Linked DNA regions of Lepisosteus oculatus. The protein of the gene in region 1 purifies or fractionates together with the protein of each later gene. This does not show direct contact. Links are inferred from orthologs where the notes say so. Each region holds a gene or a part of one and is shown on either strand. Other genes may lie near its edges. The genes, in order: cdc123 and eif2s2.

Region 1 (16,298 bases):
TGAGGAATGTGTATTCTGAGATAGTCTTGGACCCATTGTATTGTGTTGCAGTAATGTAATGGGTCTAATCTCCTATTTCTTTGAACCTTGAAGAGGGATGTGGAGTTTCAGTGACATGCTGTTCAGTAATTATGGAATTATGGAGTCCAGTCTTCAATTCAACTGGTAAATCAGGTATGCAGGATCAAAATGGAGGGTATTAAATTATTCGATGTTGGTACAGTCTCGTTTAAAAAAAAAAACATAAAATAAACTTTTCATTATTAAAATACACAGGGTTTGTAAATGTTTTTTTCTGAGGTTCACATTTTTCATTAAAATGTGCAGGTATGAGTATTGTCAAGTGAGTAAAGCAAAAACAAGAACAAAAGTATCCCCAATTGTTTTTTCCTCATTTGTTGAACAAGGTAAAAGAAAGTGATTTTCTTCATTTTCATTTTATTTTTCGTTTTCAAGTTAAAATGATTAAAAACAACAGCACTAAATAATGAATTCAGGCACAAGCTAAAAATATTTTGGAAAGACCCAAAGAATGAAAGAATAGTACAGCAGTAAGATCTTTCAGTTCAGCAACGTCTAAAGATGGTTAAGGATGACGCAAACTGTCTCCTCGACATTGTATATCTTGACAATAATAGGAAAATACTAAGCAACTATTTTATTCAGATGTTCACTAAGGAAGAACTTAATATTACACCAGTGGAAGTACAGAGTTCTTCACTAGAGTTGGAATAGAAGAAGCGGAAGTGTTTTGCATACTAGACACACTCAAGATTAATAAATCCCCAGGAGCTTGTGGTATCTTGCCAATCGTGCTCACGGCAACAAGATTAAACTATTACCCTTGTCTTGAGTAACTATTGTGAGAGTTGTGTAAATGATATCTTAATAACAGAATGTTATAAGTATCCATGGATTGGAGAACTGCTCATGTAGTTCCCATCCACAAGAAGGGTGACAGAATGTACCCATGTAATTATGGACCAATAGGACTGACTATGTTAATATGTAAGCTTGTACAAACTAAATTAGATCACCTATAGTCAACAAAGAAGAATAGTCAACCTGAATTCAGAAGAGGTGTCAAGTAACAACAGTAAAGGATAAACAGAGAGCACATGATATGGAATAACTAGATTTTCAGAAGGCTTTTGATAAAGTTTCTCATAAAAGATAAATTTTCACAATGCAAGCAGTAGGCCTTCAGGGACTTTAGTTCACCTGGCAGATGGCTTTTAATATAGACAAGAGAAGGGTATTGCATGAAGTAAAAACAAACTAAATACAAACTGGGAAACAGTTAATTATGAAAAAGACAGATGTTTGTTGAATATTGGGTACACTTTATTGCAACAAATCTGGATAATTTGTTTACAAACCAGGCAAGAAAAAGAGACCATTCCACCATAAAACAAAGAATACAAGGGTAAGAAAACTGATTTTTCAACACTGGATTTTGAAACAGGAATGTAAGGCACTATGGTGGATCATCTGTGCACTTCATCTAAAATTCAGTATTTTTTCAACTGGATTATCGTACATTAAGGAATGCGTTCGCAGACCCACGCAAGAACATCAGAATGCTAGAGGAAGCCAGTCTTTCTTCACTGCTTGAGAACTGGCAGTTCTTTCGGCTTGGCTGTTGCCAGTGTCATTCCCATTGCATAGGCGTAGACTTTGGTATCTACAACTACGTGTTCCTTCTTCACAATTTCTTGAAAATTAGAGGGGAGAAGAAACCAATTTTTTAAACAAAAGTCAGAGTGCGAAACAACCACTGTCTAAATATTAACTGTCTCACAGGATAACAAAATCGAAAACCGTAGAATCGTACATTCTAAAATCCAAATACATTTTACATCAAAATCATTTTTAATATTTTAAAGAAATATCCATTTACTATACAATTGCTAAGGTTAAATATTCACAGCTATTTGTGTTTATCTGCTAATTATGTTCTTCCTGGTCATGAGAAAACTACATATTTTTATATTTTGGGGTTAGAAAGAATCGGCATTGATGAGTGCATTTCAAACCACAATGAAAGAAAAATGAACACAGAAACTTGTAAAACCTCCAATGTACATCACAAAATCAAACTTTCCAAGTGTGCACAGTGCCATATTCTGACATTCAGAACGGGCTGGTTTTCCTGATAAACTGTTGACGAGTCATTTGTTAAAAATATTTTTATTTTTATTTTTTGCTTTAAAGAAGTAGGTTTTGTATATTTCAAATAATGGCTAATTCAAAGTGTCCCGACTAAGCTTTAAAGCAAAAAAAACTGCAAGAGTCTGAATACTTCAGCAATGCACTATTTCTGAGGCTAGCAATAGATAATATTGATATTAACATTTGCTTCTGATATTGTAACAGACTAAAGACAAACACTTTCCAATTCAGAATTAGAATTAGTTTTAATTTTAATATGCAATTAGATGAGAAAAGTTTCTCAAAGGAAATAAAACAATACCAAGATTGATTAATTCTATACTAATTAACTTGCTACTGCATTAAGAAATGGAAACATTTAATGTTCTAAGCAGAATACGGAACAAAGTGTATTTAAAAAACACTTACCATTAATTTTGTCTTGAAAGTGATGTAGAGGTATAAGCAGTACTTCAACAAACTCTGCAATTAGCAAACTAGAATTAGCAGTCACTCAAAACTGTCAATTTATGGCATTCAGATATCCTTCCATCCATTTTCTAACCATATAATCCAATACAGTCACAGGAGAACTAGAGCCTATCCCAGCAAGCAACTGGTGCAAGGCAGGGCACACCCGGGACAGGACACCAGTCCCTCGCAGGGCAGACACACACACTCACACTCACACTGAGGGCCATAATTAATCTACCAGTATGTCTTTGTATTGTGGGAAGAAACCAAAGTACCTGGGGGAACATGGGGCGGACATACAAACAGCACCCCAGGTCTGAAACTGAGGCAGCACTGCTAACTGCTGCACCACTCCCATTGAAATATGTAAAGCAAAAACATACCTCCTTCCGCTGAAAGAGAAGAAAAAAAAAGTTATTTAGAGGAGTTTTAAGATGCATTTATAAAAAATTTGGAAATACAGTCCAAAAACAAAAAAGCCTTTCTTACCAAGTTGTTGTGCTGGCCTGATGTTTTCTGGATCATCTCCATTGATGTTAACGCTGACTATATGAGTTGTACAATTTGACAAACCGGGATCAATACAAGTTACTAAAAAGAAATAAAAAATGTATTCAAGGACGAGGAAGAAAAAATATATTTCTAGAACGTAAAATAGACATTTCCATCACATCCCTATGATTCCTACAGCTGTAGAATTTATTTAACAGATTCATTATGAATTTACATGTAATGCCTAATCCAGAGAGGAAGACAGGCAACTGGCAGTACCAGTATAAATTAAAACACAAAGTATTGCAATCTGCCTTCCAGAAATTGAAACAAAAATATATTTTAAATATTATTACAGATAAACACTTTTACCAGGACTTTAAATCTTCAGTGCCCACCGTCAAAATTTACTAACGCTTGTAAACCTATGAACTTTTTACATCATAATCAGCTGATTTCACTGTAAGTCTGAAGGTAGTGGTTTTCAGAATCACTGCGAATAGAATACAGTACACAAACTTACTGAAAATGAAGGATTATGAACTAAGAATTGTGAGGGAAACAGTTATATTTACAACAAGCCAAACACACACACAGAAACTCTACCTGGAGAAATTCCTACTACTTCTCCTTTATACCCAGTTTCCTCTTGCAGTTCCCTCAAAGCTGCAGCTTCTGCGCTTTCATTTTCATCGATGAGGCCTAAAAGATTATAAACACTCTCACAAAACGTACAGCAAGAAGCCTTAGGGCTCTAGAGTGAAAGCTGCCTGGTTTGATTTAACAAAACTACAAACTTCACAGAAAGTCTTCTAGAAAGAGGTGAAATCACCCTTCTGCTAAAACCATTTTCAAATTTCTATCTAACCCCTTCACTGTACATAAATCAATTTGGTAAAGATTCGCTATTCATTAGGAAAAGTATGGGGGTTGCTGATAATCACATGATGTATTTTTTATTTGAAATTATTAAACATTCTTTATAAAGTACCGATGTTTAGAATGTTCTTCAGAGTGTATGGAATGAGATGAAGAAACCAGTAGCACAAAAAACCCAAGAACATTTAAGAAACATGAGGCTTGATATTATATTACATTCTTAATACTTGAGGACAAACCGTGGACAGTAATTTCAACTGGAAATATTCTTAGGAGACCTTACAATTTATTCATTCTTCCTGTTCCAAAAGGATTTATTTAATAACTGAAACAAAATGCAAGCCTTTATTAAAATCCACAATTGCACCATGAAAATGTATTTAAATTCATTCCAATTTAAGGTTTAGAATTGTACAAAGCGAGAAAAGAGAAAACAGAACTTTACCTGCTGGAAATTCCAGACAGTAGCACCCCATTGGCGGCCGAAACTGTTTTACCATTACAACACAGTCATAATGGAGAGTTCTTTTCAGAACGGCAAATATGCCCACTCCTAATTGGAAGTAAAGTACAGAAGATTAACATTTTCGTTCCACTCCATCCAACAAAGGGTTGCATAGGCAAGCAACAGGCACAAGGCATTCGCAGAGCCCCGCGCAGGGCACTCACAGACACAAACTCCCACACAGCAACAAAAGGGCCAGTTTTCCCAGACGCCGTTGAACTTACTGTACCAATCTGTCTTGGACTGAGGAAACCCACACTAACGCAGGTGGTACATGCAAACTCCACGCACACAGCACTGAATGCAGGGTCCAGCTAACCACTGCGCCAACACGCCACCAGATTTAACGTTTTCAACATACATACAGTACTAGATGCACAGTTTTTCCATTTGATCTTTCAATCAGTGTCAGATACACTTTAACCTACAAATTTACATACCGTCAGCTGAGGAATTCTTTTTTGTTGTCCTCTTCACCGTTTCCCAGATTCTAATTCAAGACAAACACAGAACTGATGAAAAAGTTAAAAAACTGCAATTACTTTTCACCATTTCCCATACTGCAGCTAATTGTTTATAAAAATTGATCCAATTATGCACTGCCAGGTGCATGCCTTTACTCAACATGATAACGAACTGCACAAAGATAACGAAAGATATTACTTTAAGTATTTTCCCATGTAGAGTACTCACTTTATCACTTTATCACTATAGTAACTGTAAGTAACCCATTCTAGAGACAGTAAACCCTTGGTTTAACAGAATAATAGGGATGATGAATTGTCTGATATTGCCAAAAGTCGGATCTATCAAGAATTATGTTTTTTCAACCCCAGAACAATATATATATACACTTTAGGTGGGGAGCTGTGTCAGCATGTGTAGGCTGCAAAGGAACAAGTAATAGGTTTATTCCATGCTGAAAAGAGAAAAAAGAAAACACAATGTTTAGGCCGTGGAGCCTTCTTCAGGCTAAACTATGATTCAGTAATAAGGAGGATTAATTTTTCTGAGAAAATTTAAAACCAAATAAGAAAGTTAATCTTTTTTACCATGTTACAATTACTGAAACATTTCTATCAAACCTACCTTACATTTCCAGAAGGGTCAACATAGGTGGTCTTTTCAAATTTGACCCATTTTCCTTCTGTAATTACCTGTACAGAAAGCATTGTATTATGCATTAGTCCAGGTTAATAGGATGAATAGTCCCCTACTACATTGACTACTAGGCCTTCCTCGCTCTGTCATACTTTCATATATATAGGAAGCAAAAGTACTCATCACTCAGCTGACTTTCTCGAATTCCCAAGTGAAGCCCATGATAACATTCGTCAATGAAAAACAGAAAATAACATCTAATCAAATCTGCTTTGTTTAGTGGAAACCCACTGATTGCTCTGTCTCCATCCCGGTTTTAAAATTACACTCAATCCTGCTGACTGACAAAGATGTCCTGAGATAACAAGAAGATAAGGATGATTAAGTGTTCCTATTCAATGGTTTGCACACCTCTTCTTTAAGGACTGACGATGTAGAGCTCTTAGATGAAGCACCCCCTTCGTGGCTCATGTTTGTAGCCCTGGTGAATGAAGCAGTGACAGTCTCAAAGTCCAGACGATGCAACTTTGCAATCAATATTATCGCAGCAGGATTGCCTAGCAAGAAGGACAAGCAAAACAAATGGTCAAAATAATATTTTTATTTTTCATGTATCAGTGGAGGATTGTGTCATAACTGGACAGGAAATAATATTGCCTTAATACAGACTTTTAGCAAGTAATTGACATACATTCATACATTGAATAATCTCTATTTCACAAAAGAAAACTAGGGTTCCATTTTTTTGCTGCCTCACAAACAAGCAGTTGAAACTGTGCCTACACTTTTCTGGTGAGCCTGCAGATGCACTTATCTGTGAAGTAACCAAAACAAAAACAACAAATAATAAATTCACCATTAATGGTACTGGTTTTCGTTTAATATCTAACCCGAAAAAGACCCATTCTTTGCGATTATTAATTAAAAAATTGTATTCTAAATTGCCAGTTTATGTTTTAATATGAAAGGAAAGATAGCACATTAGAAAAAAACATCACCGACAAAGTGAAGATGAGAAGAACATTACTATACCATGGAATATCACACAATTCAGTTTACACTAAGAATTAGGCTAACCTGAGATTCTAAGTACAATGGATGATAATACAAAGGGATGTAGTCAAATGCATCCAGGATAATAAAAGTACATAAGCTGAAACTACATGGAAGTCCATTGAAAACAGAACAAGAGGCAATGCTTTACACAGAGGTTTGTGGGAGCATGGAACAAGCTACCAAACTGTGTTGTTGGACCCAATACCCTGGTTTATTCAAGAAACAGCTGGGTTTGTACCCCATCTTATGTTGTTATGGTTCCCTACATCAGTTCAATAAATGCTAACATTTTTAAGTGTTTCAGGGTTGGAAATGATTTAGGACAGATCTCTACACAGAGCTGAAACTGAACATGAGCTTCTTCGTATTATTCTTGACCCTGACCACTCTTTTAAAAAGCATATTTGTAATGCATCTAACGTTTGCAGCATAACAAATATATACACCAATTGTATGTATTTTTAGTGTAAGCTACTGTATGTCTCATTTTATCCATTTACTGTTGTAAAGGTATATTATTATGACGTGAGACGTGCTATGTAAAAAAATCTTATTACAAAAAATCTTTCTTAAGACGTTTTCAGATTTTTCAGTCAAGACAATTTTAGGATTATGAACTACAAACATAAAACATGACAGATTTTTTTGATTTCTTATGAATAAAAAACGATGATTAATCTCCATGTCGTAGGAATTGGGTGCCTCTTCATTGTTATCATGAACTTAATTCAGACAGGGAGTCCCAATGTTTTTTGGATGTACTTTACAGAGATTCAGCTACAGTACAATCTACAAACGTATTACTACCACTGCCTGTACGGTTCATTCATCTTACATTTTCTACCCCTCGGTACACTGCACCTGGCTTCAATAAAGCCTCGCAGAGTTACCGCTGATAAATAGCTCTCTTAGCAGTGATTACCTCAGCTTTTGGGAAAAACGGAGTGAAGAGGAATATTTCTTTTCTAGTAGACTCTAATACTTTAAACAACCGTTTAAAGCGCATGATACTTGTGATCTGAATAATTCAATCCTCTGAACAACATAACCCAAAGAAGAAACATTATTAAAACAGTCGATTACAATTAATATACACAGAACATAATAGACATCCATACCTTATTCGCCAGCAACCAAGATACTTTCATCAGTGTGATCACAGCACTGCACTAATGCTACCCATTCCCCCCAACGTAGTGCAACTCGAAACACCTCCCCCTGAGCGCCACTCCTTCTTGAATCTCGCGTCAGCTAATAAAATTCAGTTTAGACAAAATGCACGCATATAAGTTAATAAGATAAATATTTTAACAATATGAATATCACAAAGCTTCTTTGAAAAAAAAGTTTTAAATATATGTAGATTGGTGGAATCCGATAGGTACGACCGCTGTTCTCCTCAGTGGAGGAGTTGTTTTCTATCGGACACTTCCTGTCAATAGACGAAGCATGAAGAAAGAGCAGGTTGTAAACTGTCAGTTTTCGGTGTGGTACACATTATTCAAGAAGCACACGATTAAAAGGTATGACATTTACTTTTCCTGTATGTAATTATTAAAATCCCAGCGTAGAGCTTGATCTTACAATGCTGATGTGTTACACTGATATCATCTAATTTGTTACTGAACCGGCAGTGCTTGTTATCGACGCTTAAGTTTAAAATTATTTTTTAAGAAGAACTCGGACTTTCAGTTTTTCCGTCTATGTAATAAGCATGAATGACCATTAATACCCAATGCTTGTGTTAACACTCTTTGTTTTTGTGTTACAGTTTAATTCTTCCTTTGCCACAGAATGTGATCGATTATTTACTGGATGACGGCACTCTTGTGGTTTCAGGGAGGTACGTTTGTCTAGGCTGGGTGTTTTTTCGCTCTTCAGATCTACTCTAGACTTTGAATCTTCCACATCTCACAATTCCTATCTGTTTTTCGTAGTTACTGGTACTATAGAAAATCTGAATTATATGAGGAATCTGCTAATAGGCTAATTTTTAAGTCACGGGAAAGTGCTGTCATTTGTTTGGTGTATTCAGTGTAACTCAGAAATGTATCTGTTAAGCAAGTTATGTGAAGTCAAGCATTGTAATGAATTATAGTGGAAGGGCTAAATGAAATCAAAAACATCCATGAAGATCATGATTTTGTCTATATGGGTCCATGACTCATAACTTGACTAAAAGAAGATTATTAGCACATGATTCTACGTTTTACACGCACGCACTATGTACGTGTGCAAGTAAAATTCTGACTCAGGTCAGAAAGCCCAGACTGCCTGTTTAACTGGGAGCTTTGTTTTCCATTAGTTGTAGTATGCGCAGATTACCAGCAGATGGCTCCAGCAAGCATGGACGCTAACTGGCTGCGTGCACTTCAGGTTGAGCTTTATGGGACTAGATCTCGGCCGGCCTTATTCTCAGGGATCCGCCTGGCCAGCGTGATGAATCACAGCTCAGTCCCTCTAAGAGGAGCCTTTAATTCTCTGCTATTACTGACTGTGTTAGTCATTTATTTATTTTTGTTGTCGTAACCCATTTTGTGGCCAAGGCTGAAATCCTCCCCAACCTTGACACGTCCATATGTTAACATTGTGTTCCATCTTCTTAATGTCCATGTGGCCACCCTGATTTATCCGGTTATTTATTACCTGAAGTGGGACATTACTGTTTAACCACTGTGTGGAAGTGTGGAAGTGCTGGGATCTGCTAATTTAGCCTTTAACAAAGGTCATGCTAAGATATAATGAAGCTGACTTGCTTGCACAGCTCCAGTGACTTACACTACATAACAAAAGGTAGGACCAACACCCATAAACAATCAAACCATAAACATGATAAAGCAGATCAATGTCTGCTGCATCTCAAAGGACAGGACTTCAAATAGGACAAAGCAGTTCAACTTTTGCTACATTTCAAAGGACAGAATAAATATACATAACAAGCCATAAAACTGTGAAACTAAGACTTCTTTCTGTACAGTATATAAGGGTTGGAAACCTCTTTCAGGGGCTCTGTTCTGCAGGACAGACCCAGTGGATGTTGCTGTCCTTATTGAGCTCAATAAAATTGAATCTGCACAAAACTGTGTCCTGCTCCTCTGATGAAGAATTCCCCACAACAATTCTGCTCCATCCCATTTTGCCTAATTTATACGCTGTTTCAGAAATCCATCTCTGTGTTACCATGAAATTGTCTCTCAGTATCTATTCTTGTTCATCTTTATCTGTTGTCAGCTATTTCATGCTGTATGTTTTAGGGCAGTAGTGTGGAGAAGTGGTTAGGGACTGCAGACTGGAGCATTGTGGGTTCAGATCTCGACTACAATACAGCTATTGTGCCTCTGAGCAAGATAGTTCACTCACATTGCTCCAGTAAATGCCCTGTTGTACAAAAGAATGTGAGAGGGTCAAGGGTCAGCAGGGAAAAATGACTCGGAGGTCACAAAGGTGAAACCCGGGGACAGTGCATCTACTGTAAATCAGAGCCCATGAAGCTCTTTTTCATACAAATGTTTGTGGGAGTCAGGAACAAGCTTGTTAAAACTGATACCCTCACTTCCTTCAGAAAATGATGGGATGAGATCAGTTGGTTTTGAGCACCCAAACAAGTGAGAAAGGATGAACAGCCTCCTTTCTATTTGTAACCTTTTGTGTGTTCTTATGTTTACAGTCTTTAAAAATCCTAAGCTGATACACGGCACAGGAGAGACACCAACAACCTTGACATTTGGTCTTGTAAATCTTTCAAATAAATCATTTTCATTTGGCTTCCATGCAATCGTCGTGGAATTTAAAGTAGACAATTTGAGAAATGCTACAATGCATCTTTCAGATTGAATTTGTTCCTTTTGTTGTCACATCCTTTGAGGTTTTAGTTTCTCCAGGAAGACAAGGGACTGTATAAATGAATAAGTTATTGTAATTTTGCTCTTTTTTTAACGCTATATGAATAGTCTGTTATTCTGTTTTTTGCAGAGTAGATCCCCCTCAGAATTCTCAGACAAACAATAGTGACTGTGATGAGGAAGACGATATACAGGTACAATTTTAGTCATAGTATTCATGTGCGGTATAGCTACTGTTGGTACAAATATATAGTCATATAGTCATCTGTCAGTATACATATATTATACTTTTTCAAATAAAGTATTTAATATTTAATGCACAATATTTAATTAATATACAGTATGTCATGCAAATTTATAACATAAATAAATGTATGTTTAGTTTTGTAATTTAAAGTAGTAAATGTCTTATATTTTTCCTTAACCCATCCAGAAACATTCCCAGTTACAAATAGTTTCTAATGCCTTAGGACCGTTAAAGGCAAGTTCAGTACTTTTGTTAAAGGAACACTAGATGCTTATTGTCTGAGAAGACATTACGTGTTAAACTGGTATGTAGGTTTAACCTGACAATACCCTGATCAAGACGAGCTTGAAGGTGTTTGTTTAGAACCTTATAAGCCAGCTCTCTTAGCCAGGGCTTGTGTGGCTCTGCTCAGTCTGTCACTATAGATATTATCCCATAAGTTTACAAAATGGAGATTGGGGCAAGAATTCTGGACATCTTGTCGATTGTTTTTTTTTTAAAATATATATTTTGGTTTTGTTGTAATAGTGGTCAGATGACGAGACTACATCAACGGTTACTGTAAGTATTAAAAATATTTCATTTGAGTTAGCTTATTATCAGCAGGCTTAAATGGTAATCGGTTAACCGTTTCTATTACACTGTGACTAAGTCTTTTAGATATAGGTGCCTTTGTTTACTATATCTGCTCCAAGTGTACAGACTGCAAGAGCAACTCTTCATATTTGCTTAAGGTATCATTCTCCTTGCTAGTTAGGTAATGGATATACCAATCATTAAAACTCATCTGTTTGTAGTTGTAGTTGTTATCTGTATTTCTTCTTTAAGTATGATAAACAATTGCCTCGATTACAAATTAAGGCATCCTGACTGTATATTTAGTTCTTTAAAGATGTATAGTGATAACTTTTGTTTGTGTTAAGTTTGAAAGCCCTGATAGTTTCCCTTTGTGGTTAAGGCTCCTGAATTCCCCGAGTTCCATGCCAAAGTACAGGAAGCAATCAACGCTCTTGGGGGCAGCATCTTCCCGAAGCTGAACTGGAGTGCTCCAAGGGTAAGGCTTAAATATCAGTAAAGATTTTACTGTATTGGACATTTTGGTTTTAGTTTCTCCAACATGCATTTAAATCTGGGAACTGGAGGTACTTCTTTCCCCAAAGGGTGGTGGGAGCATGGAACATGTTTGTGAAGCAGATACCCGATATCTTTCAAGAAACGGCTGGATGACATATTCTTGACAAGCCACCTGGGTTTACTTTCCTTAATCTTGGTGAATTGTCCAGTTACATTCAGTCTGGTTTTGTTTCATAGGCAAAACTGAGGTAAAAACCATCCCTTCTGACAACTGTTTATTACCCTTGATTTATTACAAGGCTGTTAAACTTCTTAATGTAGTCCCTATTCAAGCCCATATAAAAGATATGACTTTTCAGTGATTAGTATAATATGCCCATGCTTCTGATATTATTCTGATATTATTTTCAGAAAGGTTTTATTTCAAACCTGCATTCTTCACTTTAAAACCTTGAAGACTTAAAGAGAGAATAAATAACCCTTCTTTTGTGCATTATTTTACTTTCTTCCTTATATATCTGTATATACGTAGGATGCTAACTGGATTGCAATGAACAGTTCTTTAAGATGCCAGAGCCTGAGTGACATTTTTCTGCTTTTCAAGAGTTCAGACTTCATCACCCATGACTTCACTCAGCCGTAAGTGCTCCTATTTGAAGTGCTTTACGACTATTATTAATAAGCAGATTTTATAATCATTGTGCTGTTTCAACATATTTAGGAGCTATTCCCGTGCTCTTAAGTACTGTCTTTTAAAGCCCAAATGTTATCTCATACCCTTAAGTACTGTATTTTAACGACTAAACGCTACTGACCTGAATGCATTAACTTCTAATAACTCATTCAAATCCCTTTTGTCGGCATCCAATTTTAAAATTAGTGTTCTTTGCCATAGGAAAATCTAAAAATCAATATGTTCAGTGTCCACAAAGCCTTTTGAGTTTGGGATTTTAAAACAATTTACCCCAGAATGGCTTTATCCATTAATGGTAAAGGTCAGCCTGCATCTCCTGATTTCATTCCCACAGTCTCATAGTGACCTTCGCTTTCTCTGTGTTCAGCTCTTCACTGGTATTGATTGCTGCCTTTGTGAAGATCTTTTTTTTTCAGGTGCAGCAGAATAGGACTGCAGTAAGTGGCAATGTCCACAGAGTGCAGTGATTTATTTCAGAGTATAAAAGGCAGCTTTTCATTCCCAAAAAATGTGTAGTGGCCTTTTTCTCTTCCCGTGTCTTGCCTGCTTTGGGACTATTGAACTTCCAAAGAAGAAGGAAGAAAATTAGTTTTGTGAGATGAATCCATGTTCACTTTGATTAGTTTTTTTTTTGCCTGGACCCCCACAAGGTGGACTGACTTCAAAAACAGCGTGGAGTTGTGTTTAGTGCTTTGGACTGAGACCAGAGGATCTTGGCTTCAGATCCTGGGTGGCACGATGTTAGTGTACCCTTGAGCAAAAACATTTCACTCAAAGCGCTCCAGTACATTTCACTGCTGTAAAAAATGGGGCTCCAGCTCATCATTGTGAATATGAATTTGTTCTGATAAAATGTCCTCTTCCATCACCAGTCAAGGTAGGCTCAGATATGGAGCGTGCACAGTTCTTCCTGTTGAGTTTATAACACTGCTGCGCGGAACTTGCAAAGTTTAGGCTTATAATTTGACTACTGAATCAGTAACAATCATAGTTCTTTTGTGCATTACAAAATTCTCAGCCTCATTGCCTCGTGTATTAGTTTTGTTTTGTTTTGTTAATTATTTCAGAGTTAACAGGGTAAACTTGTTTACAACGTGTTGTTTTCAGGTTCCTTCGTTGTAATGATGATTCCCCAGATCCATCAATAAACTACGAGGTGGGTGGCTGTACTGAAGGCAGTGTCATTCTCTACCCTGCCTCATCAAGCACCCATTTCCCTTTCACTGTGTTGTGAATCTTACTTTCTTGGGCTAATGCTGATTACTTCATTGAACTCATCGCATGCATGTTAATTGTTACATGAAATACAAATTGTAGTAATTTTAAATTACTACATCCCAGACAGATCTCGTTCAGATCTGATTTCTGACCAAGTGGAACTGCTTTACAGTAATAAATGACTCTGCAGCACCTGAAAACATACTGTGAGGAAAGTTAAGAAGTGTTTTTGCATGGGAGGGGACAGTAACAGTAACAGGTTGAGGGGGTGCCTTTAATGGGAGAAATTAAGGTCTCATTCTACTGCAGTTGTCTCAGCTCACCTTATATTAAAAGTCGCAGCACACTGAGATGAGAATTTATATCCTATTTGCTGAAGGTATTCCAATGGGGGAGCATACAGCTATTAACATATTTAATATGCTAAACAAATATTTTGTTTTTCAAGCTGGTCCTGAGAAAATGGTGTGAATTGATCCCTGGTGGAGAGTTCAGATGTTTTGTCAAGGAAAACAAGCTAATAGGTATGGAGAGTATTTTCCTTTATAAGTGCAGTGATCCTGTAGAGTTTTATGCCCTTGGATGTGGATGTTGTAAAGGAGGGGTTGGAATTCATTAAGAGGTTTTATTATTTGTCTATACAAATATAAACAGAAACGTTAGAAATTTGTGCTTATTACATATATAATAATACCCACTGTCCCAACTTGAAAGGCTAATATATATCAGAGTCCTGAACTGCACAGAATCAAATTAAAAGAGAAAGTGGGCATTGATTTATTGTCATTGAATCTTCAGACGAGAAAAAATAACATTAATAAAAATGAAGATCCACCTATTCTTGACATGATGTCTTCTGTATCGAACATCTTAAAGTGTTTAGTGGATCCCAAAGGTTGGAAATATCATTTTCTATTGCTTACCATAGTATTCCAAAATAAAAGGACTGCGCTTCTCTGTTTGCTGTTTCTTGTTTGTTTTATAATGTCTGGAATGGAATGTCCTATGGCTTTATAGATCAGAACAGGCCCTTGTGTTTATTTACTCAACTGGCCTCCCAAATCTCCACCAAATTTGGTAAATCACTGAAGTAGTGGAAAATCTTGGCAGATAGCTATAGGAGCTGTACCCTGCTGGTGCTATACTGTATATTAATGTATGACGGAAGCAAGTAAGGGTGGTTAATGATCTGTAACTACGAATGTTATACAAGAGTAGGTCCTGATGTGTTTTACTTTTTAGGAATCTCACAGAGAGATTACACACAGCACTATGATCACATTTCACATCAGGAAGATGACATTTGTAGATCAATCCAGGATTTCTTCAGGGACAATATTCAGTACAAGTTCCTGGATGAGGACTGTAAGTATGTGGAAATAATTAATTAACCGTAACAAGTGTGTTGTAGGGAATACTTAATGAAAATCCTGAACATTAAATGTACTTTTTCAGGGTTTTACACCTTTCTCTTGACAGTGTCATTGTTGACATCAGTATCTGACAAGCTTAATCTACTAGTGTTGCAATGTCAGGTGTCATTAATCTAGTTTGTGAAATACTGAAAAAGACATTCTGCAGTTCTTCTTTTCATTGACCGTTGATCTGGATATACCATTTTTATGTTGTACATTTTACCTTTTTATAGGTCCCTTGGTAATGTTAGCTGAATTACTGCAAAATAAGAGATAATGTCACAATGACATTAGAGATAAGAAAAGTTCATTATAAGCTTTTATTATTATTTGGTGCTTTTTTGCTCCTTTTTTCCATCCATCTGTCCTGCCATTTTTCCATTTTAAATTCTGCTTCCTTCATAAATTTAGAATCACTGGTTTCTTTCCTTCTTTTGTATCTGTAAATTTGAATTTGCCAAAGAAAAACCCCAGACTGCATATACCCTCACAAAAGTATATGATCAAGGAACATGATGTTATGGTCATGCTGAGTTTTAGATTACCATTCTAATATCTGTGGCTGTGACCTGGATGAATTTATTGGGTTTAAAAGGAAAGAATGATTAGTGAGTCTAAAAGACAGAAGAAAGTTATTTTTCATTATCAAATAAAATGTTGTTTTTTTCCACAGTTGTGATTGATGTCTACAGAGATAGTCAGGTTAGTAAATGTTTTATATTCTGTGCTTTCATTAATAACAAAAATAGAAAGTAGTAAAAGCTTCGGTTGTGAACTGGTTAAAGGTTACATTCTCTGCAGTATGTGTGCTAAGGAAAGCTCTTGAACTCGGTCTTTTTCTGATGGTGTTTTTTCAGGGTAGGGTGTGGTTGATAGATCTGAACCCGTTTGGTGAGGTGACGGACTCGTTGCTGTTCACCTGGGAAGAGCTGACTTCAGGAAACAGTCTCAGAGGGGACCACGTTGAAGGGGAAAATACAGATCAGGTGCGAATTTGTGGTAGATGAGCCTGCAATTAAGAAAAAGAGAATTTAACTTTCCCAGTCGTCAGTGGATGTATGCTGTGTCTACCTAGATGAATCCAGTCCTGGAGAGCCTTTGTGTGTCTTTGTGTTTGTTTTCTGAGTTCCTTTTATAAAAAGATCTCGAA
Region 2 (16,532 bases), on another chromosome or scaffold:
AAAAACAATGAGGGGAGGAAAAACCCAGGTCTGCTGAAGCCTGCAGGGAGTGGGGGTACCAGGTGACCACAGGCGGTGGTGTAGCATGCGGGGCGGGCGGAGGACCGCTGGAGTGGGGGGGGGTATCACCACCGGGCCCGTCCTGGCCAGGCTTGGCTCCCACCGGCGCCGGCCCACCCGCACAGTTTGGAGAAGGAGTCCCATCAGGCGCCCCTGCCCCGGGGGCGGCCGGGTCAGTTGGCCTTGGCGCGCAGCTGCGCCCTCTTGCCCGTGACGGCCTGGAAGCCGGTCTTGATGCTGGCCACAGAGCAGCGGGAGTGGCAGGTCTCGCACTGCAGGAAGTAGAGGCGCGTGTCCTTCTGCAGGATGGTGTCCGGGGAGCGGCAGGTGTGACACGTCACGTACTCCTCTGCGGGGCACACAGGGCACAGCGCCGTCAGACACCAGGGGCACCGGGCTGGCGGCCTCTCTGCGGCCGCCACGCAGTCAGGCCGCTCGGACGACACACACACGAGCGGCAGCTAGCCCTCAAACAACCCGGCCGAGGGTTTTCAAAAGCATCCAGGCCAAACTCTGGCAGGAACGTACCGCATCCCAGTTCTCACCGAGTCACAATTAATCTGGTAGCCTGCTATTCCAAATCCAGTCCCTCTGACGACAGCAAGCGCTGTTTCAGCCTTGCCTTCATGGCTTGATTTCGTTTTGAAAAAGAGCACTATATATTACTTATATATATAGAATATTTTCTGGGAACAGGACAGGTCTCTCCGCACCACTGGTGAAAGTATCCATGTTGAATACGCTAACTAAAGGCTGGTCAAAGGCTTGTTTTATACAAGGTGTGCATATGATGATTACTTCAATGCATACAATTATCAGTTTTCTACATTTTTCAAGGATGAGGAGCAGGGTGTATCGATAAGATTCAGCTCCAATGACTCGCCCATTGAAAACCATGTTTGGTAAAATTATAAAACCTGTTCTTTTGTTCTTTTTTTTTATTCATACTTTGCAGAGTGTGAAAAAATCAGTTGAGATTAAATTTCTCTTTTAGGGACACAAAATTCACATCTGGCTCTTTGGGAGATTAACTCTGGCCAGTGTCCACCTGTAGTATGTCAGTAGACAAAAACTCTGCTGTCCCACCAGGCCTTATGAGCCCTCAAATCACTAATTTCCACTACTGTCAAAGTCTTGCCAGGACTTTAAATCTCCACAGACCATAAAAGGGTTAAGGAAAGGACAGCTGGCTTAATCAAAATGCCAAACATACCATGAAATATAGGTCTATACTTCTAAAACATAGCATGACAGTGCACAACAGCTTTCCTTATCAGCATTTTTAGGACTTATAATAAAATAAAAACAATGTCAAGTCAAATACGTTTCTTTGAAGTCGCACTTACTGATGTATCTTCGCAACACATTTTCGATCTGTTTCTGCTGGAACCTTCCCTTGATCACAAGCTGGTTGTTTCCATCTATGGAACCACTGTGAAGATGACACAAACGTGCATCAATCCAACCCATCATTAAGAGTATAAAAGGAAAACAAGAATTTCTTGGCCAAGCCAGGTTGTCACAGGTTTCTCTAGACAAACAGGAATGACCAATTTGGGGATCAGTGATCAGCAGTTCCCTCAAGGAGTGGACTGGACTTGAGGTTCTACTCCTAGTCCATTATTCTCTTTCCCCAGATCACAGACGAACAGGAGACACACAGCAGCAGTAACTTACCTCGTTCCCAACTCAGCCAATAAAAAGGCTAAGAGATGTTTGGGCTGACGATGCAATCTAGCAACAAGAGAGAAAAGGAAACAGCGGTCAGAGTGAGCTCTGGTGAAAAGGACCGCATCCCGAACAAATAATAGCCCTTTGCTTTTCGGCATTCTCAAACAATGGGCGTTGGGAGTATGGATCAAAACGCACAGCAGCACACTTCCACTTCACCGCTTACACGAACGTCCATATTTCAATAAGCTCATTTCACAGAGGGTTAGAGGGCAGGGTCAGAGAGTGGACTGCAAAGAAACCAGCATGATATCACTTCAATTCGATATGAAATGCGGAAAAGATGCGTTTTTCCTACACACAGTAAGTCTAAGATAAAAGACAAAGACGTATGAACAGCACACTGAAGCAAAAAGGCAAACACATGAACAATGACTAATACTGGCAGCCAGCAGAACTTACTTTCAACCCGTCTCATTCAGGGAGCGCAGTCAAAGGCAGGTACATAATTAACCTCCATTATCTGACTCCCTTTTCAATCACAGAACATATTAGTTTAAAGCAGCAATGATCCTTAGAAAAGGTCTACTCACTGTATTTGAATCCACAGCTGACGACTGGCTGTTTTTGGAAACAGCTGAAAGTTTGTTTCCTTAATTGTGACAGCTTGCGTTTCTTGGGCTGTGTACGATGACTTTGAACAGTTCAGTTTATTTCCCTACAGTAGGCTTTGTGCCATAATCTGGCGACCAGTCATCTTTTATAGATCTTTTGTTTTAATCAGCAACTTTTTTCATTGCTGTACCCATACTATTGTGGCTGATACTTGCAACTAATTTAAATTTTCTAGCTCTTAAGGGTGCCCTGAACAAAGGTATCTACTCAGCAAAAGAAAAAATACCTCTGCTAGCGCTCTGGGAACAACGCTCATCTTTTCTTTGCAAAAGTATTGAAAAAACAAACCCAAGAAATCATGTGAAGCAACTCTAAATATTAAAAACAGAGAGACGGGCTGCATCAGCAGAAAGGGTGCAGAGGGGTTTGTTCGCATCATTGGAGGCCAATCGGAGAAGATGCTCGTGAGTCGCCCACACCTGGCGCACCACACCTGGTTATCTAGCAATCAACTGACCTTAGTAGCAGATCTAAACATCAATGTTCATGTGTTAAAACCCATTTCCTTTATTTTTGAAAATTATATTTTCCTACTACACAAGTGCTGGAACACCTCCTGGTGTCTCTGGTTAAGTTCCAGGTAGTGAACCAACAAGATGGAACAAAGCTATTCCGTTAAACTGAGGTATCGCTACACTAGAGACGTGTGCCTTGGTCTCTCTGCAGCATGCTTTGATATGTGCTGCACTGTCATTCTTAGAGGTAAAGTGTCACACTGAAACGCCTGCCTCTTTTAACAGGCCAGATGAGAATACCACAGTCCATAATAAAAAACTGGTTAAACGGTCAAGCTGCACCAGAGAAAGGGAAGGACTCACAGCTTGCAGATATCCGTGAAGTTGACGAAAGACGTCTTCTTTGTCCCCACACGGACCACCTGCGGCGGCTTCATGACAAACTTCCTCTTCTCTCCCGCCACCATGTCGGGGTTCTTCACGCGCATGATGTTGAAGACGCGGTTCAGCAGCTGCAGACGAGAGCATCGAGTGAAGGACAGGCGCGCAAGGCAGCGGCCCCTACCTCCTACCTCCTGTACAGCTCTCGGGGGCCTGGAGAGCAGCCATCCCGCTGCATGGGATTCAGAACCTGAACTGCAATATTAACCCAGTTTGAATTCCAGATTCGTACTTTCCTATTCCTATACTATTCCTGTTTAGTGGGATAACTGTTCTTGATTGAAGTCATGCATAAAAAAAGATTCAGGCGATGATTTGCTCACAGTTTATAACAAGGATCAAAAGATAAGATAAGATCACTTTATTTGCCCTATACAATTTCTTGCATTAGGAATTTGTCTTTTCGCAGACCCCAGCTTGCTCTCCATGAGAGACACACACAGAGAGAGAAGCTTGAGGTCAGAGCGCAGGGTCAGCCATTTATACAGCACCCCTGGACCAGTTGGGGTTAAGGGACTTGCTCAGGGGCCCAACACAGTAGGATTCCTCTGCCGACCGCAGGATACAAACCAGTAACCTTCCAGCCACAGATCCTGAGCCACAGAGCCACCCCACCGCTCCAAACACAATCGCACAACACTTTACAGACAGGATTGGAACCCCTTCGTGCAACACAGCAGCTCCCCCGCACAGCAGATCAGGGGAAGGAGTGAGAAACTATTTTAAACTGCCAAACTGCTAAATTAAGAAGAGACAGACTTTGCAAAACCCAGAGCAGTATTTAAACAGGACCCTGGGGTGAGGCTTATAGCCATACACTTAGTGTCTTCAGGTTTCTTACTAAGCAAATAGTCAGAGTCTGGGTTGAATGTCTGATAAAAGCATATTCCTCAAAACATGGGTTAAAAAGACCCCGGTGTATCGTAACCCAAGCTAAAAACCGAATTGAAAACGGAGAGGTGAGGCGCCTGCCGCTTGCGGAGACGAAGAGCCGGCATGGGCACTGCGCCGCGGTGGGCAGAGCTCCTTACCTCATCATAAGTGTAGTCCCGCTCCGTCCCAGCCCAGGACGGCCCCGTCTGCGCGCTGAACGTGATCCCGTCGTTATTCTTTCCGTCCTCGTCCTCGGGTGCTGCCAAAACAGTCAGCGGCATCACCTAACCCATTCACACAGCCCCCCCTCCCTGTGGGGGGCCGTCAGAAGACGCAAGGTGACCGCAAGACGTGCCGAGCGCCGGGGACCGGCTGAAAGGCACAAATCTCAGAAACCAGCACTGTCAGCGCTGCTGTAAAAAAAAGTAACGTAACTGAAAACAAAATAGCTATTTGCACCCTCTCTTATAACTGCATAAAACAACGTGTGTTTCTCTTCAAAAGACAATTGGCCAGAAATTTCCACATGTTTAAGTGCGTGTCAGACTTCCCGGCGAGACGCACGTACAGTCAGACCTACCGTCGTCGCGGTCTTGCAGCTCGCTCTCGTCCTGGAACTCCACCTTCTTGACGGGTTTCTTCTTCTTGGTCGGCAGCATCAGATCCAGGTCATCATCCTCTATGGCCTCTGTCTCCCCCTCAATCTTCAACTCCTGAGGGCAGCAGGGTGGAGCGCGAGAACAGTAAGAGACCCCACGCAAGCTCTGATCAGGCCAGAGGGAACGGGATGCCTGCTTCTGTATCTAGGACTTGGTTCCCCCTCCAGTCCGATATATGAAGGCAGGAAACCACAGCAAACTACAGCTCTGCATGTCAAAAATCAACCGTGCCAAGTCTCCTTTACAACATAGGCTGAATTCTGCACAGCACTGAACTCGCAAATTAAGTATTAAGAATAAAATTGGCTTTGAGTCTCCTGACAGTCACAAATACAACCAACAGATATTCTAGTTTCATGGTGCTCAACACAAACAGCTATTCCAATGCACAACATTAACACAAAAGAGGGGAGCAGTTTCTCATTACAAACTGGGAGCACCACCTCTCTGGTCATGTTTCTCGGATGTCGCATGTGAACACGCACAGTGGTGCTCCTCTGGTACTGACCTTTATCCCTTCCTCAAGGTCATTATCAAACGTCTTTTTAACCTTCTTTTTCTTTTTCTTCTGGTTAAAGAAGTTCAGGTCATCGAGATCATCTGACACCTCTGTAAATTTTCAAATGGGGGGGAAAAAAAAATTAAGACTCTGAAAAGAATACCAAAACGCTTTCAGACTCTGCTCTCGACAAAACACCGAGAAAGAAAACGCATAACAGCCCTTTCCAAGGCATAGTGGAAAAAAAACAAACAACCTAAACAGAGAACTGGGTTTGAAAACAACCAAATCGAACACCATTAGCTCATTTAAAATCACAACTGATCATTTAAATCTGTCACATAGCAGATGCTAAGAATTTTATTAAAGCATGAATTTATGCTTTTGTAATAGAAGCAGGTCAACAGTATACAGGAAGCAACAGAGTCAAACTAACTCAGCCGTGTATATGTATGCGTCTTAACTAGCCACAGGCATGAGAGCTGTGAAGGTCACGTTAGTGGGAATATTCTTGAACACCAATCCCAGCTCCACTCCTCCGCTGGCAGGGGGGCAGGGACGCTCCCTCACCCTTCCTCCTGCCCTCGTCCTCGTCCAACTCCAGGTCCTTGTCCTCGCCCCCCTCCGGCTCGGCCACGTTGGCCTCGGGCTGCTGGGTGTCTTCGCTGGGGGCGTCGCCCCCTTCCTCCTCCAGCATGAAGGGCTTCTTCTTCTTCTTCTTCTTCTTGGTCATGGTGGGGTCAAAGATCATCTGCGGGGAGAGGGCAGAGCGCCGTGAGGGCTGGCGGGGGGGGGGGGGGCGCGCGGGCCGTGACCGGCCACGGCTTGCACACGGCAACAGGAAGAGTTGACACCGCGCCCCAGCACACCTCCACTGCACCAGCTGCGGGCGCCCCACTAGAGGAGACATCGGGAATCCCAGCAACACCCGAGAGATCACCGTTTCCATCTCCCAGTGTCATGACGAGAAAGGCTGCAAACGAGAGCACCCCACCCCGCCCGGCTGGTACGCAGGAGCTTCGGCTTCAGCATGCCTGCTCCACACTCCCACAACTATTAGTGAAAAGAGCCTCATGTTCTTGGTTTTGAGCTCTTTCCTGTAGTCTATACTTGTCTCTCCTGGTTCACCTTTCACCCTTCATACTGGTGAAATCCACAGAGCTGACTGTGAGCACTGGGGGACTTGCTCCAGCGCACCGGCCTATTAACCCTTCAACGTGCAGGTAGACTGCTCTGCTCGGGACACAAGGGTCGGATGTCAGGGGTCACCCCCCCTCCCTCCCCAGCAGCCTCACACCGAATTAACAATACACAAGCCTGGCACACACGAGGGGCACCCACTCACAGCCACTGGTGGAAACATTACACTGATATGATGATCTTGTTCTGTACAAAAAGAAGGGAGGGGAGTATGTTCACAGCCCGGTTTTGAAGATTAGACGGTATTTCTGAGCTCACGAACACCTCCCGGCTCCCACACCCTCTCGACAGGCTGCTGGGGGCTTCAGAGTCGCCCCGCTTGGGCGTTTCGGGAGGGGAGGCGGGAAGACACGCAGGAAAATGACTTTGCTAAACTGCCAAAAGAGGCAGGGGACGTGTTCAACGCCACGGCCTGCTCGCCTGGGAGTGCAAAAACGCCGTGTAACTCGCATCGAGAGACGACCCTGGGTTCTCCGACAACGTGTAGGAAATCCCCCCCAGCTCATCTGTAAATCTACCACGAAGAGGCGAGCCTTCCCGGAGCTGCGTTCTCCCGTGTGTGTGTGTGAGTGAGTGCAGCCAGGAAGACACGCGTGTGGGTGGTTTCTGCAGGCGTGGGGAGCCGGCGGCCGCTCGCTCACATGGGGACTAGGCCTCACGCCGCCGGGTCCGCTACTCAACCTCCCTCACTCGGCCTCCGAGGGGTGCAGGCAACACACACACACGCAGCGGCGTAACGACACTCTCCGCTCCCCACTCACCTCGTCGCCAGACATGTTCGCGTCCTGTCGTCCCCTGTCCGAATTTCCTCGCTCGCGCTGCTCCGTCCTCGCTCTTTTCTTCTCGCTCAGCGCCTCGGGCTGCTTGCGTCAGCTTTCGAAACCCGCGCAGGCGCCGCTGCCCCGGGCCCAAATACGCATGCGCGGCGCGGCAGGCGGGACTTGTAGTTCTTTCCTGTCGCGCTCCTGGACATTGGAAGATGCTGCTTGTACGGTTCTTCTGAGTAATCTGCGGGGGGTTTTTTTTGGTTGCATTTTTGCATCTTTATTTAAATAAGCTAATGTAATATTCAATTATTTTAGATTCCCCTGAACAGAAGAAAAATCAGCCTGTTTTACTAAATAAATGCATCCAAATTAAATGTCTTATTGCCAACATGGGAGTTGTGACAAACATGTAGCCTATTTCATCATCCCTTATTCCAGTGAAATCTGTGGTAGGCCTGAAAATCACCATTCCCTTACCACACATGTCCAACAACAGTAATTTCTAAGAAACCTATTCCTGAGCATTATTCCACATTTCCTCCCATCTCGCTGATGCAATGATTGGTAAACAAATCAAGAACATTCTGACACTTACATTAAAAACATTCAAAAAATAAAACCTGATGAACAAATTGGTTATGAATAAGTTTTGCACCTGCAGCCATTCATGATCTTTTACTGCAATTACTGTGCTGTATGTCTCATATTCCTGTTCTCATCATGCATTATGCGTAGGGACTGGCTGCAGCTCAGGGGCTTCAGAGCCAGGGTAGCGGTCTCACACTCTGTGCACAGAGCCAGGGTAGCGGTCTCACACTCTGTGCACAGAGCCAGGGTAGCGGTCTCTCACTCTGTGCACAGAGCCAGGGTAGCGGTCTCTCACTCTGTGCACAGAGCCAGGGTAGCGGTCTCACACTCTGTGCACAGAGCCAGGGTAGCGGTCTCACACTCTGTGCACAGAGCCAGGGTAGCGGTCTCTCACTCTGTGCACAGAGCCAGGGTAGCGGTCTCTCACTCTGTGCACAGAGCCAGGGTAGCGGTCTCTCACTCTGTGCACAGAGCCAGGGTAGCGGTCTCACACTCTGTGCACAGAGCCAGGGTAGCGGTCTCACACTCTGTGCACAGAGCCAGGGGAGCGGTCTCTCACTCTGTGCACAGAGCCAGGGTAGCGGTCTCTCACTCTGTGCACAGAGCCAGGGGAGCGGTCTCTCACTCTGTGCACAGAGCCAGGGTAGCGGTCTCTCACTCTGTGCACAGAGCCAGGGTAGCGGTCTCTCACTCTGTGCACAGAGCCAGGGTAGCGGTCTCACACTCTGTGCACAGAGCCAGGGTAGCGGTCTCTCACTCTGTGCACAGAGCCAGGGTAGCGGTCTCTCACTCTGTGCACAGAGCCAGGGTAGCGGTCTCTCACTCTGTGCACAGAGCCAGGGTAGCGGTCTCACACTCTGTGCACAGAGCCAGGGTAGCGGTCTCACACTCTGTGCACAGAGCCAGGGGAGCGGTCTCTCACTCTGTGCACAGAGCCAGGGTAGCGGTCTCACACTCTGTGCACAGAGCCAGGGTAGCGGTCTCTCACTCTGTGCACAGAGCCAGGGTAGCGGTCTCACACTCTGTGCACAGAGCCAGGGTAGCGGTCTCTCACTCTGTGCACAGAGCCAGGGTAGCGGTCTCTCACTCTGTGCACAGAGCCAGGGTAGCGGTCTCTCACTCTGTGCACAGAGCCAGGGTAGCGGTCTCACACTCTGTGCACAGAGCCAGGGTAGCGGTCTCACACTCTGTGCACAGAGCCAGGGGAGCGGTCTCTCACTCTGTGCACAGAGCCAGGGTAGCGGTCTCACACTCTGTGCACAGAGCCAGGGTAGCGGTCTCACACTCTGTGCACAGAGCCAGGGTAGCGGTCTCTCACTCTGTGCACAGAGCCAGGGTAGCGGTCTCACACTCTGTGCACAGAGCCAGGGTAGCGGTCTCACACTCTGTGCACAGAGCCAGGGGCTTGTACTTCCACTAACATGCCTGATACTGCTGAGGTCTTATATATATATATTCTACTTCTGACCCATCTTGGAGATGGTCGAGGTATCTATATTTAGCATGTGTTTAATGGATGGCAGCAGAGTGGCACAGTGGTTAGTACAGTTGGTACTTGCAGAGTCGGGGTCCTGGCTCCAGTTCTTGGGGCACTGTCAGTGTGGAATTTGCATGTCCTTCCCACGTTCATGTGGGTTTCCTCTGGGTGCTCTGGTTTTCTCCCAGAGCTCAAAGACATAGGTTAATTGATTGCTGGAAACATTGGCCCTAGTATGTATGTGCCCTGTGATGGACTGGCGTCCTATCCAGGGCGTAGCCGGCCTTGTGCCTGTTGCTTGCCATGACAGGTGCTGCTTCCCCTCCGACCCTGTATTGGATAAAGGGGCTAGAAAATGAATGGTTTTAATTAAAACAATATATGCTTCAACAACATATATTTCATAAAAACATCAGCCGAATCAGAAGTATCAGAGTTATCAGTTAGAACAGAGAATTATGTATGAATTAAAACATATTTATACATATAGTTGTTCTAATATATATCGATTGCCAAAAGGTCACCTGCTCAACAGGCTCCTTCTTTTCTAAATGTAATCTGCAAAAATATTTAAAATGTTAACCATCAGTTCTGACAGAAAACATCAGCTAGTACGTCAAGTAAAAAAATTGCTTTGTTAGCCATTGGAAATTGTCTTCTCTGAGTCAATTTCAAACAAGGCTCTCACAGTTTCCAGATGTTTTTAATTGCACATAGCTTCCTATGGGGCTTGCCTCTTATAGTACAGTCTGTGAACCAAGGAGCTCAGTGCTCAAAACCACTGACATATGAAGAGTGAGATGATATTGTGCAGGCGCTCTGTGTGTCAGAAAGCACATGTGTATTTTGCCTTTGGAATGTACTGTGTAAGTGCAAAGAGCTGGAAGTCAAGCTCGTGGGAACTGAGATGCTTTATTTAAAGTGGAGTGTTCTGCTTTTTCAAACAAAATACATATTCCTGTAATTATGGTGCACGTCTATAAAACCCTTTTTTTTAAATCAGGAATGGTTTAGGTTGGCTGCATAGCTGCATAATTCTTAAGAAAAACTTAGAAAAACAGCCCTTGAAAATTTTCAATGCTGATCATACTGCTCATATTTATAGCTACCCTAAATATTTGGGTTTGCACTGCTGTGTTAGTGCTGACACTATATTGCCAGTGGCAGTCCCTCCTCCTGATGATAGGGGTCCCAGTCTGGTTACAGTAGTAGTTCCACACACTGCAGTGTGTCATTCAAGTCCTAAGACTGAACTCCCTCTTTACACAAGGGTAGGCGGGGTATACCAGCGGTGTTAGTACTACCTTCCGTGTTATGAATCTGTCATGATGTTTAGAGCTGTTATATCTGTATGTCCTCTGTCTAGAGCTCTGTAAAGCAGCTTATATCTGCCAAAGTCTGCTGTGGAAGTGGGGTGAAACATTGTATCCCTGTCTGAGTGACTGTGGTGTAGTGTTTTCCCCAGAGGTAATTGAGGTAATGCAAGGGGGACCTAATGTCTGGCTTTTTGAACTAAACATGATATTGAGCATAAATTCCTTTTCCTCGATTCTTCTCAGCTTACGGAAGAATTGTTCAGTACTTTACAGTATCCGGCAGTCCATTTTCAATGACCACTAAGTCCAGTGCAGTCATGGCAAACTGGAGCCTCACCCAGCTGACAATAGGCAAGTTGGGATGACTCCTGGAGTATCAGTCCATCACCACACAGAGAGAGTAAAGAAAAGAACTGCAGATTCCCGAGGGAGTAAACCGGCACACCACCAGTTCAGACATGTGGCCACGCGGAGAAGATGCAAACTTCACACTGAGGGCTGCCTTCGGAATCGAACCAAGGACACAAAAGCCTTTGAAGCCACACAAGATTTTATATTTTCTTCTGGCAGCTGAGCAGTGACAAATCAAATAACTATTACAGGTCTGACTCACAAACTCTCAAGGATTATTCTTAAAAGTAAATGATCATGTTGTTGTCAGAAAGAGATAATTCAGGGTGTTATGTAGTTTTAACCAGAGTCTTCACTCAGCTGAGGAGTAGAACAACAGAGATAAATGAGCATCATTAGAGCAGGATAGAGGACTGTGGCTTGATTTTTAACAGATCCTAACTAAAATGATAAAGCAAGAATAAATCCCATCAGTCCGAACTGACAAAAGCTACTTATGACAGTAATCAAGAAGGCATCCCTATGATATAGACATCATTGGAGACAACTACATTAAAGTATTGCTTTGAGCTATAAATCCTGCAGAACACTAAGTAACCCTTTAACCCAGGTCTTCAGTTATGCAGTATTTCTCATACTGTAGCTGTCAGCTACAGTATGAGACATCCACATTTTTCAGACATGATTTTCTAATTAAAATTACGGGTATTGGAATGAATGGAATGGAACATATGTCTCCCCCTTTATGAGTCATCTTAAATTTAAGTCAACTTAAAAAAATGAACTTGCAATAAGATTTCCTAAATTATTAAGTTTGTAATGGCTGGAAATTCTGATTAAAATAACAACAAAATACATCTTTCCAATCAAATGATATTCAGTATACAAAGCAATTTCACAGGTCCCACCGGGAGTCTTGCCTGATATGCAGAAACATTTACTAGGTTACTTCTATTTCACTATAATTCAAAGGCATGCTTTCATTGCATGTGATAAAAGTAATCCTCACAGGTCTGCTTGTCATTCCCTAGGACTAAGAGCTCAAGCCTTTTATGTTCTAAAAGGGCAAAGAGTTTTTCATTTGGACGGCAATTTGTTCTCACAAAATTTTTTGTAAATCTGTGTATCTGATAACATAACACCGCGATATTCAAGCACTGTGTGTTTACATAGAAGGCTGATTTCTGGAGTTTATTTGCAGTGGCTACAGTAGTCTTCAGAACAGATATGCTAAGAAAACAACTGCAAAATCTTTTATTCCTTTGCCAATTTTCATAAGTCCCTTTTTATTGTAAGGGTTTCATATTGCTAGGTGGAAGCACCATGTCAGCTGGAGGTTCTCTGAAGCACCTCCCAGTTTCTGTTGTGACCGTTTGTGAGTTCCCAGGTTTGTGTCACTGACTTTTTTCAAGCCCCTCATCAGGTGTTATTCAGAGGCCGCTGGGCAGGTATCCAGTCTGGTGATCTGTCCAAACTCACCGGGAATGGAGCACTCAAGCAATGGTTCGTCCTGATAACAACACTGTCACTGCAATAAATAATGAATGCAAGAATTAAAAATTAAGTTCTCTGCATTTTAAAGAAAGTTGCCAATTCTAACAGAAAAAAATAGAAAAAAGAAGAATCCTGGAAATTGCTACAGAATGTAATTATGTAAAGGAAACCAAAAGCAATTCTGGTATTTACAACAGCCACACTCTGTAAATATAGATACTGCTTACAGATGTGGTAAATATTTTTGAGTAAAATAAACCTTTCTTTTGGATCCAATATAACTTGTTCTACATGAATACATGCGTTTTTTTTTTGTTAAATTGTTAAACTCAAATTGTAACTGGTACTGTATGTCAAGTAAATTAAAACTAGTAAGGGTAGTTTAAATAAAAAAAACACCCCATTCGATTACACAACTGTTTTGTTTTTTAAAATTCATTTTTAAAAAATATCCATTAAATATGGATATTAGATAGGACTAAAGCACAGGGTAACTATATCAGAGCAAAAATGTAAGATTATAAGAAATAGTGCACAGCTCTTTGGTTAACTAGATCTAAACTGCCATCCTTCAGACTGAATTCATTCTAACAGTAAATTCCTGAATATGTCTTCTATTTTACTTATCTTACATCTGTGGAAATGATTTCTGAGAGTCATAACAGTATTATACTAACATTTTATGAAGTCTGAAATAAAAATCATACTTCATAAATCATGTTATGATGTTTCAAACATGTCATAAACTATTGTGTATGCACAGAAATGTTTTGTTAAAATAAAGCAGGTTTATCAGCAAGTCTGCCTAAAGCACTAAATGATTTTTTGTTTGTTTTACAGTAAGCCATGGTAAATACTTCAAGAGTCTGTGCCTCTCACAACTGTCCCATTTGTATTACAAATGAGGACAAAACAGTTGTTTCTAAATGTCCAGTGTTTAAGCTTTCATTTTGCAGCGAACATAGATAAGAAACTAAACCATATGGACATGTAACATTTTGACCCATGAGCACTTAACTCCAGTAGTGCCTAGACAGCCACCATGTGACTTTAAATCACAAACTGAGTGATGGATCTGGGACACAGCAGGTGATGATATTTCAGAGAGTGGGAACATGTCCCTGTGTTATCACTAAGACACACTTCAGTGAAAACTGAGAATGGTTGAAAGACAGGGTTAAAGTCAGGGTTAAAGGAGAAGGTTCAGTCTTTTTCAACTGATTGTTACAGAGTCAGTTTATCACATCCACCTGATCCTGACTATGTTCTGCAACCTCAGGCATGAGGTCATTTTGAATCCCATGAAATAATGGGCAGTACTAGCAAAGACCATGAATTTAGTTTAGGATCCATGAAGCAATTGGCTGACAGCCACTTAAGGGCCTTTGCATATAAGGACTGTTTTGTTTTATTGTTAGTGAAACAGTATTTCTCCTGAAGGTTTTCTGATTTAGGTATAGGGTGTGTTTATTGTGAAGGTGGCCAAAAGGAACAAACATGGTGAGGTGTGCCTATTCCATGTATTTTCTTGCAAACGTCAGTGACTCTACGACACAGATCTGGCTTCCTGAAAAATTCAGCCAAGACTCGTATATTAATCTAGAACAGTGACGCATTTTCACAGGCGAAACCACATAATATTAGTTATAAAAACTGTCAACACTGCTAGCTTCCCTGAAAACGCTCTAAGAAAAAGAAACCACAATCTCTGTTGAAAACAACGCTAAGTAATCGAGCATTTAACATCAAAGGCTTGGAAACAGTAATAAACAGACACTTCAAGTGTACATAGTGTGCGTATCTCTAGAACTGTTTACAGTGAATTGTAACTGATTACAAGCACGCTCATTAAAAAAGCATTTGTTAACTGTGTCAAGAGAGTTAAGCTGGAGACAGTGTGCAGCGAGATGCATGAATCTTCACCATATAATTTACCTACAGTGTCGGGAGAGGGGGGCTCAGTAAAGAGGAGGTGTACAGTAATTGTATTCCAGGCTATGTTTAAGTTATGAAAGAATGGAATAAACCTTTACCTGCATGTTTGCAACTTTTTAATAATGTTTGTAAAACAAAACAGTTGGAATGAATAACTGGAAAACATGATGTAACACAGGGCTAGTGAGCATCGTTTGTGCAACAAGGATTTGTTCTTAACTGTGTACGTTAAAAACATAACTTCAAGATGCCAAATTTTGAAGTACAGCCTCAGAAACTTACAAAGTAAAATATCTCATCTTTCGTGTGCGAGAACCCAGATGGAAAACTCTCAAACAGACGACTCTACACAGATATAAGAAAACCCTGTAATTATCCATACGCACATATATATTAATGTGTGGATTAAACTGCCAAGTCACGTTGTAGAAATGAATGTGCTGGCATCTTTCTCAATCTGGCCTGAAATTCTCATAATTGAATTGGGTTGTATTCTTGTGTATTATGAAGAACCGTGGGAGGGCCCTTCCACAGCCTTTCCTGTTAAAGGGGTAAAGGTACAGTTGCTCTTGTAAGGTCTGTACACGTGGCTCAGCACTGAGGAGCTAAGATGCTACAGACGTTACAGTTCTTACCTTTGAACGTTTTCTGTCACAATCCCAATATTAAGATTAAAGTCATGCTGTACAGTACGATTCTTTATATTGTAAATCAATTTGCTTAAGTTTGCCAGTTTCTTCCAATTTTTTATTTCACTTCAGGATTATAGTTTTATTAAATAACAGTAGTATAGTATTTTGAATTGACAGGAAGTAACAAATGTTTCGCAAATGTCTACATGAAGTACATTACATTTAAAATACCGAGTTTATATTAAGGTTCTATTTGCACAATTCACATTAGTTTAAGGAATAAAATATAATATTTACAATAACATATAAAACAACATACAAGGGATCATTTTTGATAAGAAGTGTTAAATGAAATGTATTTCTTTTGTAGAGCCAGCTGGTTCTGTGACTACAACAGGTTAACATTTGCAAAAATATATTTCTTGATGTTTACTTGTTCTTTTATTACAAACATATTGCTTTAGTCATTGTTTGTGTCACTGCTTTAGTCATTGTGGTGAATCAAAATGTTGCAGCCCCTTATACCGAGACAGATTGTGCATAAAACTTCTTTTAAAAATGTAATAATTATACTGTATGCATATAAAACTTCCCTGATCCTATGACACAAATAAAGGCGAAGAATATTTAAATGTCGCACTGCAGTTGTATACAGTAAATGTGAGTAATAAGCTCTTTTAGACACTACATGCTTGCTTGATCACAGCAGCCCATCCTGTCCATGTGATTCACGCCACCTCACTAGGTTTCACACAGTAGTTTGATTTTAGAGAACCTGTCCCCTGTATGTAAGAGATACTGTAGAGATCGTCATGGGGACTGCTGTTTTTTGAAAGGCTGCTTGTATATGTGGAAGTGACATTCTGCTTGTGTAGAAGAGAGAGGAAGCATGGCGATCAGCAGACAAGCCCTAGAGAGAGATGATAATTATGAGGTAATGCTTCTAAGACCTTTCTCAGACCACTGTTTTCACTTCAGCTTTCCACACACCACACCACAAGAAAGACATTGGAAACCACAACTCCAGGAGAAGAATAACCAGAGTAATTCCTGGACTGGACAGAGAGTTTAAGAAAAAACCTCTGGAGCCTGGAACTATGAGCGGTTTGTGGGAACTTGATAAGGTATTCAAAACACCTAGAGGAAATGGGCAAAGTCAGCCCAAACTCAAGCTCTTCAAGGAAAATCACAATAAGAGGTCATACTGTAAATGGAAATGGACTGAATGGACTGAAAAACAGTACAACACAGTTACACAAACATCTGTGGATGTTTGGAACAAATACAATAAGAAAAGAGACTTGCATTTTGCCCCCTCAGGCTGGCAGACATGACCAGGATTTTAAATATGGTAACCCTACAGCATGTGATGTGGCCATAAAAATTTCAACTACAAAAGACAGTATCTCCTAAACAGACTGCTTCTATTACAAATCCGC

Evidence for each region.
Region 2: the proteins of cdc123 (region 1) and eif2s2 purify together in Homo sapiens (affinity purification with mass spectrometry; 4 studies listed by BioGRID and IntAct, counting the BioPlex papers as one, with this or other methods). This does not show direct contact. The link is inferred for Lepisosteus oculatus from reciprocal best matches to the Homo sapiens genes CDC123 and EIF2S2.

What each region holds. Positions count from the first base shown.
Region 1 is NC_090702.1:41,805,457-41,821,754, reverse strand, and holds the start of cdc123 (translation initiation factor eIF2 assembly protein), read left to right. Parts: upstream 1-7,985; 5' UTR 7,986-8,107; coding exon 8,108-8,181; intron 8,182-8,429; coding exon 8,430-8,501; intron 8,502-10,630; coding exon 10,631-10,694; intron 10,695-11,275; coding exon 11,276-11,308; intron 11,309-11,705; coding exon 11,706-11,801; intron 11,802-12,353; coding exon 12,354-12,460; intron 12,461-13,622; coding exon 13,623-13,671; intron 13,672-14,181; coding exon 14,182-14,257; intron 14,258-14,975; coding exon 14,976-15,098; intron 15,099-15,821; coding exon 15,822-15,850; intron 15,851-16,005; coding exon 16,006-16,134; intron 16,135-16,298. Other genes in the region: nudt5 (ADP-sugar pyrophosphatase), read right to left, coding at 1,605-1,714, 2,581-2,634, 3,106-3,216, 3,724-3,819, 4,442-4,549, 4,942-4,991, 5,591-5,658, 6,014-6,073. UniProt on the Homo sapiens protein: ATP-dependent protein-folding chaperone for the eIF2 complex. Binds to the gamma subunit of the eIF2 complex which allows the subunit to assemble with the alpha and beta subunits.
Region 2 is NC_090711.1:1,532,536-1,549,067, forward strand, and holds the start of eif2s2 (eukaryotic translation initiation factor 2 subunit 2), read right to left. Parts: upstream 7,435-16,532; 5' UTR 7,310-7,434; coding exon 7,295-7,309; intron 6,085-7,294; coding exon 5,904-6,084; intron 5,444-5,903; coding exon 5,343-5,443; intron 4,889-5,342; coding exon 4,744-4,888; intron 4,435-4,743; coding exon 4,334-4,434; intron 3,374-4,333; coding exon 3,225-3,373; intron 1,795-3,224; coding exon 1,738-1,794; intron 1,493-1,737; coding exon 1,407-1,492; intron 410-1,406; coding exon 234-409; 3' UTR 1-233.